Arabidopsis thaliana: one gene and its partner. The protein of the gene in region 1 interacts with the protein of each later gene in a pairwise test. Each region holds a gene or a part of one and is shown in the gene's direction. Other genes may lie near its edges. The genes, in order: AT4G37180 and AT2G33710.

Evidence for each region.
Region 2: the proteins of AT4G37180 (region 1) and AT2G33710 interact in binary tests that used the Arabidopsis thaliana proteins (3 or more experiments, as listed by UniProt).

The regions. Positions count from the first base shown.
Region 1 is NC_003075.7:17,501,253-17,508,997, forward strand, and holds AT4G37180 (Homeodomain-like superfamily protein), read left to right. Parts: upstream 1-3,311; 5' UTR 3,312-3,395; coding exon 3,396-3,621; intron 3,622-3,692; coding exon 3,693-3,874; intron 3,875-3,964; coding exon 3,965-4,280; intron 4,281-4,394; coding exon 4,395-4,471; coding exon of another isoform or gene 4,472-4,528; exon of another isoform or gene 4,529-4,564; coding exon 4,565-4,855; 3' UTR 4,856-5,252; downstream 5,253-7,745. Other genes in the region: AT4G37190 (plasma membrane, autoregulation-binding site, misato segment II, myosin-like, tubulin/FtsZ protein), read left to right, coding at 5,903-5,974, 6,135-6,236, 6,324-6,369, 6,466-6,544, 6,684-7,020, 7,103-7,343, 7,449-7,745.
Region 2 is NC_003071.7:14,256,974-14,264,698, reverse strand, and holds AT2G33710 (Integrase-type DNA-binding superfamily protein), read left to right. Parts: upstream 1-3,959; 5' UTR 3,960-4,046; coding exon 4,047-4,227; intron 4,228-4,952; coding exon 4,953-5,392; coding exon of another isoform or gene 5,393-5,428; exon of another isoform or gene 5,429-5,659; coding exon 5,660-5,734; 3' UTR 5,735-5,890; downstream 5,891-7,725. Other genes in the region: AT2G33720 (AP2/B3-like transcriptional factor family protein), read right to left, coding at 1-378, 612-923.

The DNA.
Region 1 (7,745 bases):
AGTTTAGTTCGAAATTTCTGTTGAAATATAAGTGACTCATTTTCAAGTAAAAGTTGAACTATCTACATATATATTTTTGGAGCTATTTTAGCAAATAAATCCTAGACTTGAACTTATTTACAACTCAATGCCATTAGCATTAAATCTTTTTTCCAAACTAATTAATTTTACTTTACATTCTTAATTTAAATTGTCAATCACATTATCAATCAAATTTAATCCAAACAAACTTCACATCAATCCCTTAAAATTAGCATAAACATATTTGTTAACAATATTTAAAACAAAATTTTTTGTTTAAATAAATATTATTCTTACTAAAAGTTTTTGTTTAAATAAATAAATCATGTATTTGAACTTATTTACAATGTCATGTTACTGACATTAATTATTTAGGAATGAAAATATTTAATTAAAGATCTAAATCTTCTAAATCTTCTAAATCCTTACTTTTAGATTTATTGTGTCATTACCTTAAAGGTAACAAATATTAACTTTTTAAATATAATTATTTATATATTTAAACTTAATAAAACATTATCAATATTTAAACTTATAAAAAGTTTAATATGTCACAATTTTTTAACATCATTATATAATATATAGAGTTTAAAAAAAATTCAAATTTTTTCCCTTATATTTTGTGATTCGAAATTTTAAAAATAAACATATATTAACCAATTGGCAAAAAATGTGTGGGTTCAACGTCCCGCATCGACTAAAATATTTAGACAATGATTCGTAAACATATCATAAATAAGATCAACATTAATAAAATCAATGGGTTTTTTTACGAGACGGGTTTGGCATGAAGAGTTTGGCATAACGTTATTTAATAACAACTGTAAATTATAAAATAAAAATATTTTATAAATAGATACAATTTACAAATATTTATATATACTAACTTTAAAAATAAATTGTTCCGCAGTACGCCGCAGATTAAAATCTAGTAAAATTCTATTATTGATGACAAATATTATAAAATTCTAAAATTTCGAAATTATATGACTGAAACGAAAACCAAATAATCAACCCATGGGATTCTTACTTAGATTAACCAAAGACATCATTGGATTCTGGCAGATAGAAACGAAGAAGAACCTTATCCTCAAATTAGCTAGACAGAGCAAAAGCCATCGTTTGTTAAGAACAATAATACAAAAAAAGTTAGGGACACGTGTCGCGAACCCACGATCGAGAATCTAATCAATCAACGGCATCAAAATCTCGACGTCTTTATTACAAACAAAGTCGAGACGTTTCAGTTCCTCCTTGAAAGAAAAAAACGATTCTCATGATAAAGAATCTGGATTAGTTGGACACGTGTCCTGGTATAGTTGGCTAACAGTGAGCCGTTTCTTTTGGTCCGTCCGTTAGATTCCTTGTGGTCTTTATTGTTTATAGGTCCTAGGCATTTTACATGCTACTGTGTTTCGGAATATCTTTTTGTTAGAGGAATCAAATGTTATTTTGAAAAAATTGAATGCTATTTTAAAATTGAAAGAAATTTGTATTTGGCTAGCAGGAAAAAGCATGGAATAAAGTAGCTTTGCGTACTGGGATCTTTTACATTGGATTATGCGAAAGATCCTTTTTTCTCATTTTGCTAGAGAATTCTTGAGTTTTATTTCATATAATAATATTAAGTATAATTCACCTTTTGAACGATATAAGTTTTGATTAGTAAAAAAAATGGATGAGTAGTGGAATAATTTGCAAGAAATAATGGTGCTACATAAGAATGATCAACCTAGTTTCTTGAAAAGAATATCAACACTGAAATGAACAAAAATATTCATAATACGATAACCAAAACCAACTAAACCATGAAAAGGGCACTTATAAACACAAAGGTTACGTGATTTCTTGAAACTAATGCTCACCGTGAATGTAAATGGACGTTGCGTGTGGTAAAAATAAAGAAAAGACAAAGAGATCTTTTGACCACTTCACTCTTTTAAAATCACATACGTATGTGTCGATTTCTAATACAGCTAGTAGCTTGTGTTAGCAAAATTTAGTATAATTTTTTTCCGGGTAAAATGTTTAGTATAATTTTTTAGTAAAATTTAGCAAAATTTAGTATAATTTTTCTATTCGAAAAGATAAACTAAAGCGAATATGTCCTATACTAGTAAAGATTAATTATTTATACGGCTCTACTAATTTAGTCTAGTTATATGATAGTAGTACAAACTGAAGTACGAATTTATGTATCGTACTACTTGCATAAACGTACATGTGGTTTTGCCTATCTAAGAACATCGTTTAATTAAACCCGATTGTATAGTTTGAATGTTTTATCGGTTTTTAAACGAGTGGTTCGAATTCCATGAAACCGAGATTTCAGTATAGCTCTGTGTTTGAGATACAATAACAAATACATGAATCCATAGCCCATAGGCCATACACGGTTATGCCCATTCGGTATTGTTGGTCTAGCAAAGTTATTTCTGACGATGTGCTACATGTACTATGTGGTACATACCTTTTTTATATTCAACATTTAATCTCATATCATGTTGACTATAAATGTATAACTTTCAAGCTCATAACATTTAGGTTATAAAAAGTCAATATTTGTTGTAGTCTAAATCTTCTTTATTTCAAACGTAATTTTTTACTCCAAAAAAGTGTAACTTATCTACTTTTAATTGTTAAAGTAGGAAAATAAAATTTGATTTTTCTTTAAAAAAGTAGAAAATTGTTAATTTTGTACAAATAAATTTGATCTTTCTTAGTTATAGTTTGATTTTGTTAATTCCTTATTTTTAATTTTTTATCCAATAATTGAGTTGCTTTATTTTATTTTTAGTCTTTCAACAGATTCTTTTTATATTATCTTTAATAAATATTTTAGTGGGATATTTCACAGCCTGAACCACTCCATATGCAGAAAATAGTGTTTGTAAAATATTATAGATTCTTCAGAATCCTCTTTTTAAGACTAATTTGGGAAAATATTAAATACAGGATAACAGGAATATGAGAATCTTGAATGAGAAGAGCACTAAAAACAAAATAAATAACAAGTTTCCCAAAACTGAAAATTGTAATATAATTAATAGCCGAATTAAAAGGAAAAAAATCCTTAAAGAAAAATATAAAAAAAGAGAAGAATAAATATATATAAGTGAGTGTAACGATTCGCCGCGTGTGTACGGGCATCACAAAAAGATTCTTTCTTCCATTTAAAGATAAATCTAATTTTAATATTGACAAAAACACCCTCAAGTCTCCACTTATTTACAGCGGCTACGGTTCACCGCGTCCTTCTTCTTCTTCCCTAATCTCATTTTTTTTTTGTTCTCATTTATCTTCTTCAGCATCTTCATCATCTTCTTCTATATATACCTCTTTAAGCTTGCTTCTCTTTGTCTTTATCTTGTCCGATGGTTCAAACAGAAACCGATCAAAGGATGGGTCTTAATCTGAATTTGTCTATCTACTCTTTACCAAAACCCTTATCTCAATTTCTCGATGAAGTGTCGAGGATCAAAGACAATCATTCCAAACTGTCTGAAATCGATGGTTATGTCGGAAAATTAGAGGAAGAAAGGAACAAAATCGATGTTTTTAAACGAGAACTCCCTTTATGCATGCTCTTATTGAACGAAGGTATCTTTTATTAAAATTCTCTCCTTTTCTTTTTTTTATCTTCTCTAATCGATTCGTGTTTTTGTTTAAAGAGATTGTTTTTCTCTGTGTAGCGATTGGGGCGTTGAAGGATGAGGCTAGAAAAGGGTTATCACTGATGGCATCTAATGGGAAATTCGATGATGTTGAAAGGGCAAAACCGGAAACTGATAAGAAGAGCTGGATGAGCTCTGCCCAGTTATGGATCTCGAACCCTAATTCCCAATTCCGATCGGTACGATCAAAAAGCAACCCTTTTTATGTTTTGTGAAGAATCATATGTTGTGTGATTGATCTTGTTGACCTTATGATCATGTTTTGACAGACAAATGAAGAAGAAGAAGATCGGTGTGTGAGTCAGAACCCATTTCAGACATGTAATTACCCTAATCAAGGAGGGGTATTTATGCCATTTAACCGTCCCCCACCTCCTCCACCACCAGCTCCTCTGTCTCTCATGACTCCAACATCAGAGATGATGATGGATTATAGCAGAATTGAGCAGAGTCATCATCATCATCAATTCAATAAACCTTCTTCACAGAGTCATCACATTCAGAAGAAAGAGCAGAGAAGGAGATGGTCACAGGAACTTCACCGTAAATTTGTTGATGCTCTTCATAGGCTTGGAGGGCCACAAGGTTAGTCCTTAACCTTAGTAAAGGATCAAACTTTGCTTTAGATTTGATTGATTGATTATACTGAGATTGTTTTGTATTGTTGTTGTTGTTGTTGTTGTTGTTGTTGTGAGACAGTTGCTACACCAAAGCAGATTAGAGATTTGATGAAAGTTGATGGTTTAACCAATGATGAAGTCAAGAGCCATTTACAAGTAAAAGTTCTCATCTTTTACAGTAACTTAAACTTTGATGTGTGGATGAATGAATGATTTTGACAGTGCGGTGAAATGAAATTGTTATTGCAGAAATATAGAATGCATATCCGTAAGCATCCGCTGCATCCGACAAAGACTTTGTCATCGTCGGATCAGCCAGGTGTGTTAGAGAGAGAATCGCAGAGCTTAATAAGTTTGTCGAGGTCGGATTCGCCACAAAGCCCACTTGTTGCAAGAGGGTTGTTCAGTAGTAATGTTGGTCATAGCTCAGAGGAAGATGAGGAGGAGGAGGATGAAGAGGAGGAGAAGTCTGATGGACGTAGTAGCTGTAGAAATGATGAAACAAAGAAGAAGAGACAAGTGTTGGATCTTGAGCTTTGAAAGTCTGCATAGTGAATGATATAATCTTTACCAACTTATGTTATATATGCTCAAAACTTTGAGTTTGTTCGGGAGTTTTTGTAGATGTAAACATGAGAGTTGAAATAAGGAAGAGGATTTTGAGCAAAAAGTAGGGTTTGTTTTTGCAAGAGGAAATAGATAGAGAAGAGTGTTCGAAATCCTCTGTGTTTTTTTTTTTTTTTTTTTTTTACTTCATAAGTAAGATAAACTCATATATCAAAGATTTTGTTTTTATACTTATTACAGTCTCAACCATGTGAATGAAGGAGTCATTTGTTTAGTTTTACCAGCTCGTCATACTAATTACCTTTTACCTTCGAAAACAGAGGATGAAGAAACATCACAATCTTTGTCTCTTTCTGTAACTCATCGTTTTCTACAAATCTACGTAATCTGAGAGAATAAGTAAGGGGAAAAAAAATAAGAATCTTTTATTGCATAAAATCGTACGAAAAGATAAGATTTTTCGTCTGAAAAACGACAAGATTTATTTTCACTATTGAAGGAATTGACAATGTATATAGAAAAAATCTACTCACTGATTAGTGATTTGATGAATAGTTTACTTCCACGAGATTTGCATGTTTTGTGGATAAAGCTTCTTGCACCATGTAACATACATTAGCCAATAGTATAGGGTAGATATTTATCTTTTGACATAATTTTCTTCAAATTTGTTATTTTTATTCAAAAATTCAAATAGTTACTCTCTGCTTTTCACAATTAATGAGTGTATATACTAAAGACATTTAAGCGGCAATGGAATATTTGTTCAAATTGGTTCGGTCGATTCAGTTTCTAAACCCAACCGGTTTATTCACCCGGTTATTTCGAGTCAATTTATGTGGTTTTGTGGTCTCTGGGCCTCACGGGGCCGCCTCTCCGTCTTCATCAACATTCTCAAACTCTTTTACAAATCTAGGCTCGACGAGGGTTTAAGCAATCACCGGAGCTCTTAGTCTCTTACGCTGTGAGCTAAGAACCGACCTTTTGCTTAGTTTCTTTCAAGTCTCCAATCAAACAACCATGAGAGAAATTGTGACGATTCAAGTTGGAGAATTCGCAAACTTTGTTGGCTCTCACTTTTGGAATTTCCAGGTTAGAGAAGCAAAACCTCCTGTTGAACTCTCTGCTCCGATTCTTTTAACAATGGATTCTGGGTTTTGTCTGTCTCTGTTTTTCATTACAAAAGTGTTTGTCTTTTTTGCTATAAATCGATTGGGTTTGCTAAAGTTGAGAACTTTTACTTGAAATGTAGGATGAATTGCTCGGATTGGCTAGTGACCCTGAAAGCGATCCAATCTTTAGAAACCATAATCTCGACATGGATGTTCTCTACCGCTCCGGTGAGACCCAGCAGGTGAGAGATGATTGATATTTCGTTGACTTTGATCAATCTCACTTGTTTTTGCAAATCTCAACATTTGTGTGGCGGAAATTTATACAGGGGGTTGCTACATACACTCCTCGTTTGGTTTCAGTCAACTTAAAAGGTAATAATCTTAGCTTTATCTTTCGATTAGAAGATTCTGGATTTGATATATAATGGTGGTTTATATGTTTACATCTGAAACTGTTTCGTCTTTCAGGGGCACTAGGGACCATGAGCTCACGCGGTACACTTTACAACGAAGGTTCTTCATCAAGATCAGATTCTTCAGCAACCTGGTCAGATTTGCTAAGTTTTTATGGTTTTTAGGTTAATTCAATCTTAGTGCATATAAAACTTGATTTTAGAGTAATAGCTTGTTCTTCAATTCAGGTGATGTGAATAATGTGATCTTATCTTTAATTTTGTGTCTTGTAGGTTTGGAGATGTTGATACTCAGAGATCTGAACCTCGAAAGAGGAACTTGTTTCTGCAAAGTTTGTACGAGGAAGAACATGTAGTGGGGAAAGAAAAGGCGAAAGAGATTGAGGACAAAGATATTGTTGGATGCTTAGATGAGGAAGTTGAATGTTGGACTGACTTCTCTAAATCCCATTATCATCCTCAAAGTTTATATGAATTGAACGGATTATGGATGGACTCTCAGGCTTTTAACAATTATGGAATTGGTAAAGACGTTTTCTCTGAGGCTTCACGTGGAGAGGAAATATGTGACAGACTCCGTTTTTTCGTGGAAGAGTGTGATCATATTCAGGTTAAGCTTGAGACATTTTTACCTTTTCTTTTCAAACTTCTTTTACTTTCTAACAAATAGTATACGTTAATGATGATTACAGGGTATTAAGTTCCTAGTGGATGATTCGGGAGGATTTTCCGCTGTAGCAGCGGATTTCCTTGAAAACATGGCAGATGAGTACACGAATGTACCTGTATTGCTATATTCCGTAAGGACTCCAATGTCACAGATGAGCTCGAAAAAGACAGTTTCAAACAAGCTTCACGATGCGATATCGTTTTCTCGACTCTCATCCTTTTGTAAACTCTTCACTCCAATCGGTTTACCATCTTTGACAGGAAGTACGCAACATTCTAACTCTCATTGAAACATAACTCTTTTGATTTTCTCTCAATGCAACTGACGATTTCATGTGTCTTGTTTATCTGTTTTGTTGATTTTTAAAGGTAAAGCATCAAAATTTCTTAATCTCGGTGATGAGAAACCTTATCGAAGCAGTGCAGTGTACGCCGCTGCTCTACATTCAAGCACAATACCTTTCCGAATGCAACCCACTAGCTCAGATTCAAGTGAAGTGTCAAATTCTATGGATGTTAATACACTTGTACAGCTTTTAACGGGTCGTGGTAGACAAAACATAGTGGCGATTTTAGATTCTGCAATGCCAGCTCCTACATTAGCAGGGAAGCAATTAGAGAATACTCTTTTAACGAGTTTGCAAGCACTAACGCCGGAAGTAACTG
Region 2 (7,725 bases), on another chromosome or scaffold:
CAGAATGTGGATGTCTACAAAGCTCGCCTTTAGAACAAGACGGTATAGGTTGCCAATACTGCTTTTGGTCATTGCCATCTTCAAGGTCCATGGGTCAGCGACGGTGAGGAGAGTTAGTTCTGTCGAGACGTAGTACTTCTCCTCTTCTTTTCTTGCTCTCTTCGACATAGTCCTCATCCACGCCAGGTTTATTGCTTCTTCGGACGTTGGTTTATTGTAAGCAACATTGGGATCATGTGGCCATGTTTTGTCATAGAAACACAGATCCAGGGAGACCAAACTCTCTTCAGCGTTTTCTGGTGACTCCGTGTCCAACAAGCAATGAGTATTTGAGACTGAGTTGGGAGCCATATCCAAGACTGAAGCAAAGTGAAAAACCTGACCAAAGGATCAAAACTCTTTTCTTTAGTCATATATTTTTTTTAGTAAATAAATGGTTTCTGAAAAGCGTTTCTTAAATTTTACATTTACAAATATTTTCATATTTTATGACTAAAAAAAAAAAATCAGATCGATATGAAATAATTTAAGAATATGTCCAGAACATCTATATTGATTCAAATATTAGGGATTCTCCTGTATATCTGGCCAAGATCGCTAGTGGTTAGTACCTTTTTGATGATCCACGGATCCTTGAAGAGTGTTAGTTCTGTTGAGACACCGTACCATTCGTCCTCTGCCTTTTCTTGATACGAGAGATTCCTCATTCGTGCAATCTTTCTTTCTACTTGTGTTAATTTGTAGTCTCTTGGTATGCAAGAAATATTGAGAACTTCGTCAGAGTTCATCTTCCTCTTATTAGGGTTTTCACAAGACGACAAAGAAAGAGTTGTGGAGACCAAACTCTTTTTAGAGTTTTCCGATGACTCGTCGTGGAACAAGTATTGAGTCTTCGACGCAGAAAAGGGAGGAGGCATCTTCATTGCCGAGGATTGGAGGTCTTGGGGTAATTTTTGCAGATTTTGGATCATTCTCGTTCGATTCTCAAGATGTCGTCGAGAGTTTCTTTATCTTAGACTCAAGTTCAGAGAGCTAAGGGAACGTAGATATATAAATAATTTAGTAGCCACCTTTGCCTTAACTTTTTCAGGTATTTTCCTGTTTAAAAAAGGAAATCCATTTGTTATAGAAAAAAGGAAAATGATTTATGTGAAAACTGAATATTACCTTTGTAGTTATTTTTATTCTGCGTTTGAACTATGAAGCTGTTAATTTTCCATTTCTTAGGGTTTGGGTTTCCTATGAAGATGAGTGTGCGTCTTAGACTTTTGGTGCCAACTATCTCTATTTGCGTGAATCAATGTTCAGATTTAATATGGTTTGTGTTATCATAAGAATTTTATTTCAATATAGATGGTCATTACTATGACAAGAGATATTCAACCTACATGGGCTAGCGAAGCCCACAACATAGCCCAATACAGCTAGTTTTCTTTTTAAAATGCAGTCATGCAGATATGTGTTCAATAAGTTCTGTTTTGTTTTAATGTGAACAAAGAGGGAGGATCGGAGCTTTTTCAACTTATAAGATTTTAAGTTGAATTTGTGAATTAATTGTGGTAAAGATCATTGCAAGAGTGATGAGGACCTACATGAGCATAGATCGTGTTCCGGACAAATCTGCCCGATTCAGAAATCAGAATCCTCATTGGTTAGGCGGACATATCACATATGTAAACGACTTTATCCATGACTAAGCTAGTGTAGGCGTGTAGCCACACAAAAAACTTAAGAATATTGTGGGGTTATTTTTGTAGTATTCATTACCATTTCCAAGAAGTATAGCTACCGATGATTTGTTCACTAGTATAGTGGCCGCTATTGTGTTGTCGTGGCCATGGATATTGACTTGGTAACTAATTTTGTAGCTGGTCACAACATAAAGTTTTGTAACAATTCATATACGTAACATGAATTGTCTCATAAACATACAATACCAATAGAGACTGTGGAAATGCCACCCTCACAAACTGTATATACAGATATGAACTGTTCTATAACTTGCTACATAAAGTACTAGTAAACCAATTGAACCCAAGCACAAGTTACTCCAAAACAATATACAAGTTACTCCGTAACTCAATCTCAGCAAGACGACATTTGCGCAGCTTCTCAAGACTGATGCAACCGTGTGGCTCCACTAAAGCTCTTTTATTGAATCTCATAAAATTCTCTTGTATATGTTCCCTTGTTTTTATACCTTTTTGGCAAAGTAGCAATTATATTTATAGGTCTAACTTCTTGTACGCCCCAACTTTCATTCCTTACTGATATTTACAATTTAGCAACAACAAAAAAAATAAACACAAACAAATATCGATCAAAGCGTTCTGACTAGATCATGTGGTTTAGATCAAAATTAAAGCACTATCGTAACTAAACATACGTAATTTATTATAGTATTACAATGTGTTCATCTAATTGAATAGATGGCATACTAAGTAAAAAAGATGAATGCAACAATCAATGTATATACATAATTCAATAAATACTTAATTAAAAGATATAAATACAAATATAACACTAGGTCAAAGTTGGCCAATAAGAATAATTCTTTTGTGGCAATCATATAGACTACGGCATGGTCTTATGCTATTGGTGTGAGATTGGAGTTGATTTGTTCGTGCGAAGTTTGCTCTGACTATAATATTCAATGTTGACCACATATTATGTAAGCCCATACGTCATCTAGGTCTTTAAATCAATATCTTATATGACACACTTTTAGATTCCCCATTCGGTCAAATGTTTTATTAATTTAGAAAGTAAGTTTATATTGTTTCAGGTTATGTTTTTGTTTGTTAAATATTGTGCTTTTTCTTCAACCACAAGTTTATATGATTGAAAAATAATTCATCAACATCATGCATGTAATGACAATATTTTTTTTGTTTTTGTGTTTCTGATAAGGCGCAATGACAATATTCAACCCCATAAAAAAATCCCTCAACCATTTTTAAAATGGCACGAATCGTCCAAATTGCTTATAATAGAAATATTAGATTAGAATCCACAGTCAGATCCCACATATTATTATTAAAGAGATTCATCGCATATTCCATTCCAGTTGTTTTATGATGACTTGTGCAGAGTGTATTCCGTAAAACTATATATGTAGCGAATAGAAACAGAGTTTGTCCTTTAATTTTGAATATTCATCCTAATTAACCATGAACTTTTATATATTACATAAAACAATTTAAAAACACACTCAACTGTATTGGATGACATAAGCGACTTTTAATTAGCAAAAATATTATGCTATTTTATTTATGTGATTTATACAGTACGTTGTTTATTAAAATAAAATGATTGTGCAAAACACATATGTATCTATATATATATATATATATATATATATAAAGACATTAAAGTCAAATGATAGAAAATACATTATTTACCTAAATAATTGGTGTTTACATGTTTATATATATTAAAGTGTTTCTTTGATTATATGTTTGTCATTTGCTCATTTACCTAAATAATTAGATATTCATCATGGTCATTTAGGTAAATTAATTTTTTGGTGAGTCATTTAGGTAAATTATTAACCCTTTAATGTTCAGGATGAAAATAATTATTTAAATCCACCACATATATAATAAATAATTAATTTTAACTTAAAATGTTGACCGTAATTAACACAAGACTTGGATCATAATTAATGAATTTTGTATAAGACAGTCGTTTTTTTTTTCGTCTTTTGAGACACGCAATCGATTTTGGGTTAACACAAACCATTAATACAACTACATAGTGGGTCGGTCGATGCAGTCCGTAATGTAACGTTTGTTAAGGAAAATTAAAGAGATGAATACAAAGAATTGTTTTTAAGGAACAAAAAAGTGTGTGTAATGTTTATGACCAAAATATCCTCTAGGTTAGACAAACTCTCTATAATATTGGTCAACAAATACATGCGTGTGCGTCTATATATAACATAGATGCAGAGAATAGACATCTTTGCTGGTTCTTTGGCTTGTACCCAAACCCATCTTTGACTTCAAAAATAAAATAAAAATAATCATAATTGACATCATCGGATAATGCATAGCGGGAAGAGACCTCTATCACCAGAATCAATGGCCGGAAATAGAGAAGAGAAAAAAGAGTTGTGTTGTTGCTCAACTTTGTCGGAATCTGATGTGTCTGATTTTGTCTCTGAACTCACTGGTCAACCCATCCCATCATCCATTGATGATCAATCTTCGTCGCTTACTCTTCAAGGTAATTTCATCAGATCCTTTTTCCAATAATTTTAATTGCTATACTTTATAACTCGAGTGATTGTCTTTTCCATTGGTGATTCTCTTTACACATAGGAATGATTTAATCTTGGATTTTGCAATTGGTAATCCTTTAGTGGCTGCAGCATGGCCTTGATCAAATAGAGATATAATTTCATGTATGGCCACAATGCATTAGTTCAATTTACTATATGATTTTTTTAATGAATGTTCATGGTTAGATTTTCTTGAAAAAACCTGTCGGCTTTATTGGTTGGACAAAATTGATCATATTTGGCTTTCGGACAAATATGATTGGCAAGGCTTGGTTGCAATGGTCGTATTTTGGTTGAGATAACTAGCCAGAGAGAGTTTTAGGATTGTAACATGGGGAAAACGTATTTAAAATGATCAAACTTAATTTATATCCTAATTATATCATTGGTGTGATACATAAGTATATATATAGTTAATTACCAATTACGAGAGAGAGGAATGTATAAATGTAGGTTTGGCCTAATATATAGATTTCATAAGTAGATGTAGAAGAGGGGAATAAAAGTTGATGTAGAATGATCATATCATATGATTCAAACGCCCTTTAATAATCTTTACGAAATGCCTCTACACCGATAGTATACGTTATATTCATAGACATGCACGTCACATTTAAGTCACCATTTTCATGACAAGAGTGAACTTACAATTTTCATCATTTTTCTACAGAAAAAAGTAACTCGAGGCAACGAAACTACAGAGGCGTGAGGCAAAGACCGTGGGGAAAATGGGCGGCTGAGATTCGTGACCCGAACAAGGCAGCTCGTGTGTGGCTTGGGACGTTCGACACTGCAGAAGAAGCCGCCTTAGCGTATGATAAAGCTGCATTTGAGTTTAGAGGTCACAAGGCCAAGCTTAACTTCCCCGAGCATATTCGTGTCAACCCTACTCAACTCTATCCATCGCCCGCTACTTCCCATGATCGCATTATCGTGACACCACCTAGTCCACCTCCACCAATTGCTCCTGACATACTTCTTGATCAATATGGCCACTTTCAATCTCGAAGTAGTGATTCCAGTGCCAACTTGTCCATGAATATGCTGTCTTCTTCGTCTTCATCTTTGAATCATCAAGGGCTAAGACCAAATTTGGAGGATGGTGAAAACGTGAAGAACATTAGTATCCACAAACGACGAAAATAACATGTTAATGGCATAAATATCTCTTCGTCCAAGTTATCAAACGCATTGACCTCCGGCTTTGATCATTTTAGGCGCTTAATCTCTTTACGACTTCATTTTGGTAGTCTTTAAAGAGTCTATGGAGTGGATTTAGCTAGGAATCAGGCCTTATGGATGAAAAATATATAAATTTTGAACATGACTATGCAAGAATGGGATGAAGACTACTTAGCTTGGAAAACGTCCTGATAGGTCATGACGACTATATCCACAGAAGATGACCGACGGAGACAACAACATGCCTCACCTGATCGACCGATCAAATGAGATAATGTGTTGACCGGACCGGTCGGATCAGGTTGGGTCGAGTATATCAGGTAGAAAAAAGCTCGTACATGGTGCTTTATGTCTTTCCACTCCGAAGTAGCTTGCTAGTTTATCCTTTTGTATCACGTACGAAAGAGATAAAAAAAAAAGTTCAAAAACAAATATAGAGGGTATACACATGATGAGGGTGTTCGAGTTTCCAAAACATAAGCTAAATTTTTTTAAATATGTACTTACATTTATATCTGTCTTATTATCCAATGCTCATATATTTTTCAACGCGTTGAATGATGAAATGGTTGGTAAATAAAAATGAAACTAAACTAGGTAACAGTCTGCATATGAAACGATTAAAAAACGATTCAAGTAAAATTATTATAAATAAATTATTATATAGGATACACATATCGACTGCTAGTGTATAAAACAAAACATGTAGTAAAAGTTTTTTTGTTCTATTCAAATTTGCGATTATTTCATATAAGTGTATCTTTCACCAGTTAAATAACTGAATGGAGAAAAAGGTTCAACATTATGAAAAATTATTCATGAAAATTATTATCTGTGAAAATATGTTTTATGTTTTTAAAAATCAAATTCACATCTTGTGTGTTTTATTGAGTAATCAGAACCATTTAACCTGTTTTTTGCAAAAAAAAAAAAAAATCACGTAATTTGATGGACAAATCCACAAAGAATCGCGATCACAAAATTAAAATCAGAACTAATATGCCTCTTAGATGATTACATGTGGACACTATCAAATCTACACTATTTATGTTAAATGCTATGTATCATCAAAACATAATAATTTACGTATAGATTCATTAAACAATAATAGTATATGATATCATAAATTGCTATTGTTTTATATAGTGTTTCTCAATTAATCATAATAAATAATATAGGTATGAAATCTAAACATTTTAATACCAAAATCATTTGTATGTATTGACCTCATAAAAGAGGATAAAAACTATCCTAATATATTAAACCCAATTTAGAACACAAATTACCATCATAACTCACAAATCACAACAAACAAAATACAAAAAGAAAAAAGAAAGAAAAAATATAGAGATGAACTCAAAGAAAACAGGCTTCTTTTAATCTTGTTCCTTGTATCACCCTTCTGTGAGTTCTTCACTCATACAAATATATTATAATTCATTTACTCATATATCAGTGTGTTAATATGTATAACAATGAAACACACACATATATAATTTATATTTATGTTCTAATGACTATAACATATAGGTGATACCCTGATTTTTAATGGATTTTTAAAAGTAAAAGAACGAATACTATTTAATGTTGATTCAATATCAAGTGCTATTTGCTGTGGTGTAAAATATGAAAATTTTAGATTCATTTTTTTCAAATGAATTAATTTATCTAGGAATTTTCAATTTGTTAGTTTCTTTATTGTGAGCTTAAAGATTTCTTAAAAACAGTAATCAAGTAATCAACACAAACAAAAATTGCGGTTTTAGTTTCAGATCAGAATCAATTGAATTGGCAAAGCAGCCATATTTTTTTATTGGATTATAAATCGATTTTTGGTTTTTAGGATATATAAAACTAATGTTAACAAAAAAATTGTACGGTTTTTCATATCAGTTTGTTATGCTTAACTAGGCGGTTCAAATACATTTGGTTTATCCAAATTGAACACTTACAACTTTTTAAAAATTATTATCTAGTATTGTTTTCTTTTGGATAATCTATTTGAAGGTATGACGATGACAGAAAGCAAAAGATGTCACAAAGACTCAGATTGCAAAAACAAAGTACCATGTGCAATTCCTGTTGCCTGTCTATATGGCGGTTGCGTTTGTACATTAAAGCAGTCTTTCTCTGCTTGTAAACTTATGTGTGCACAGCAGGGAAAAAACACTATAAACCGTTTTGATTCTGATCATTGTGTTTGCGGCGTTAAGTAAGAAAACAAACATGTTGTAATATAACAAGAGAATTTGCAAAACTTG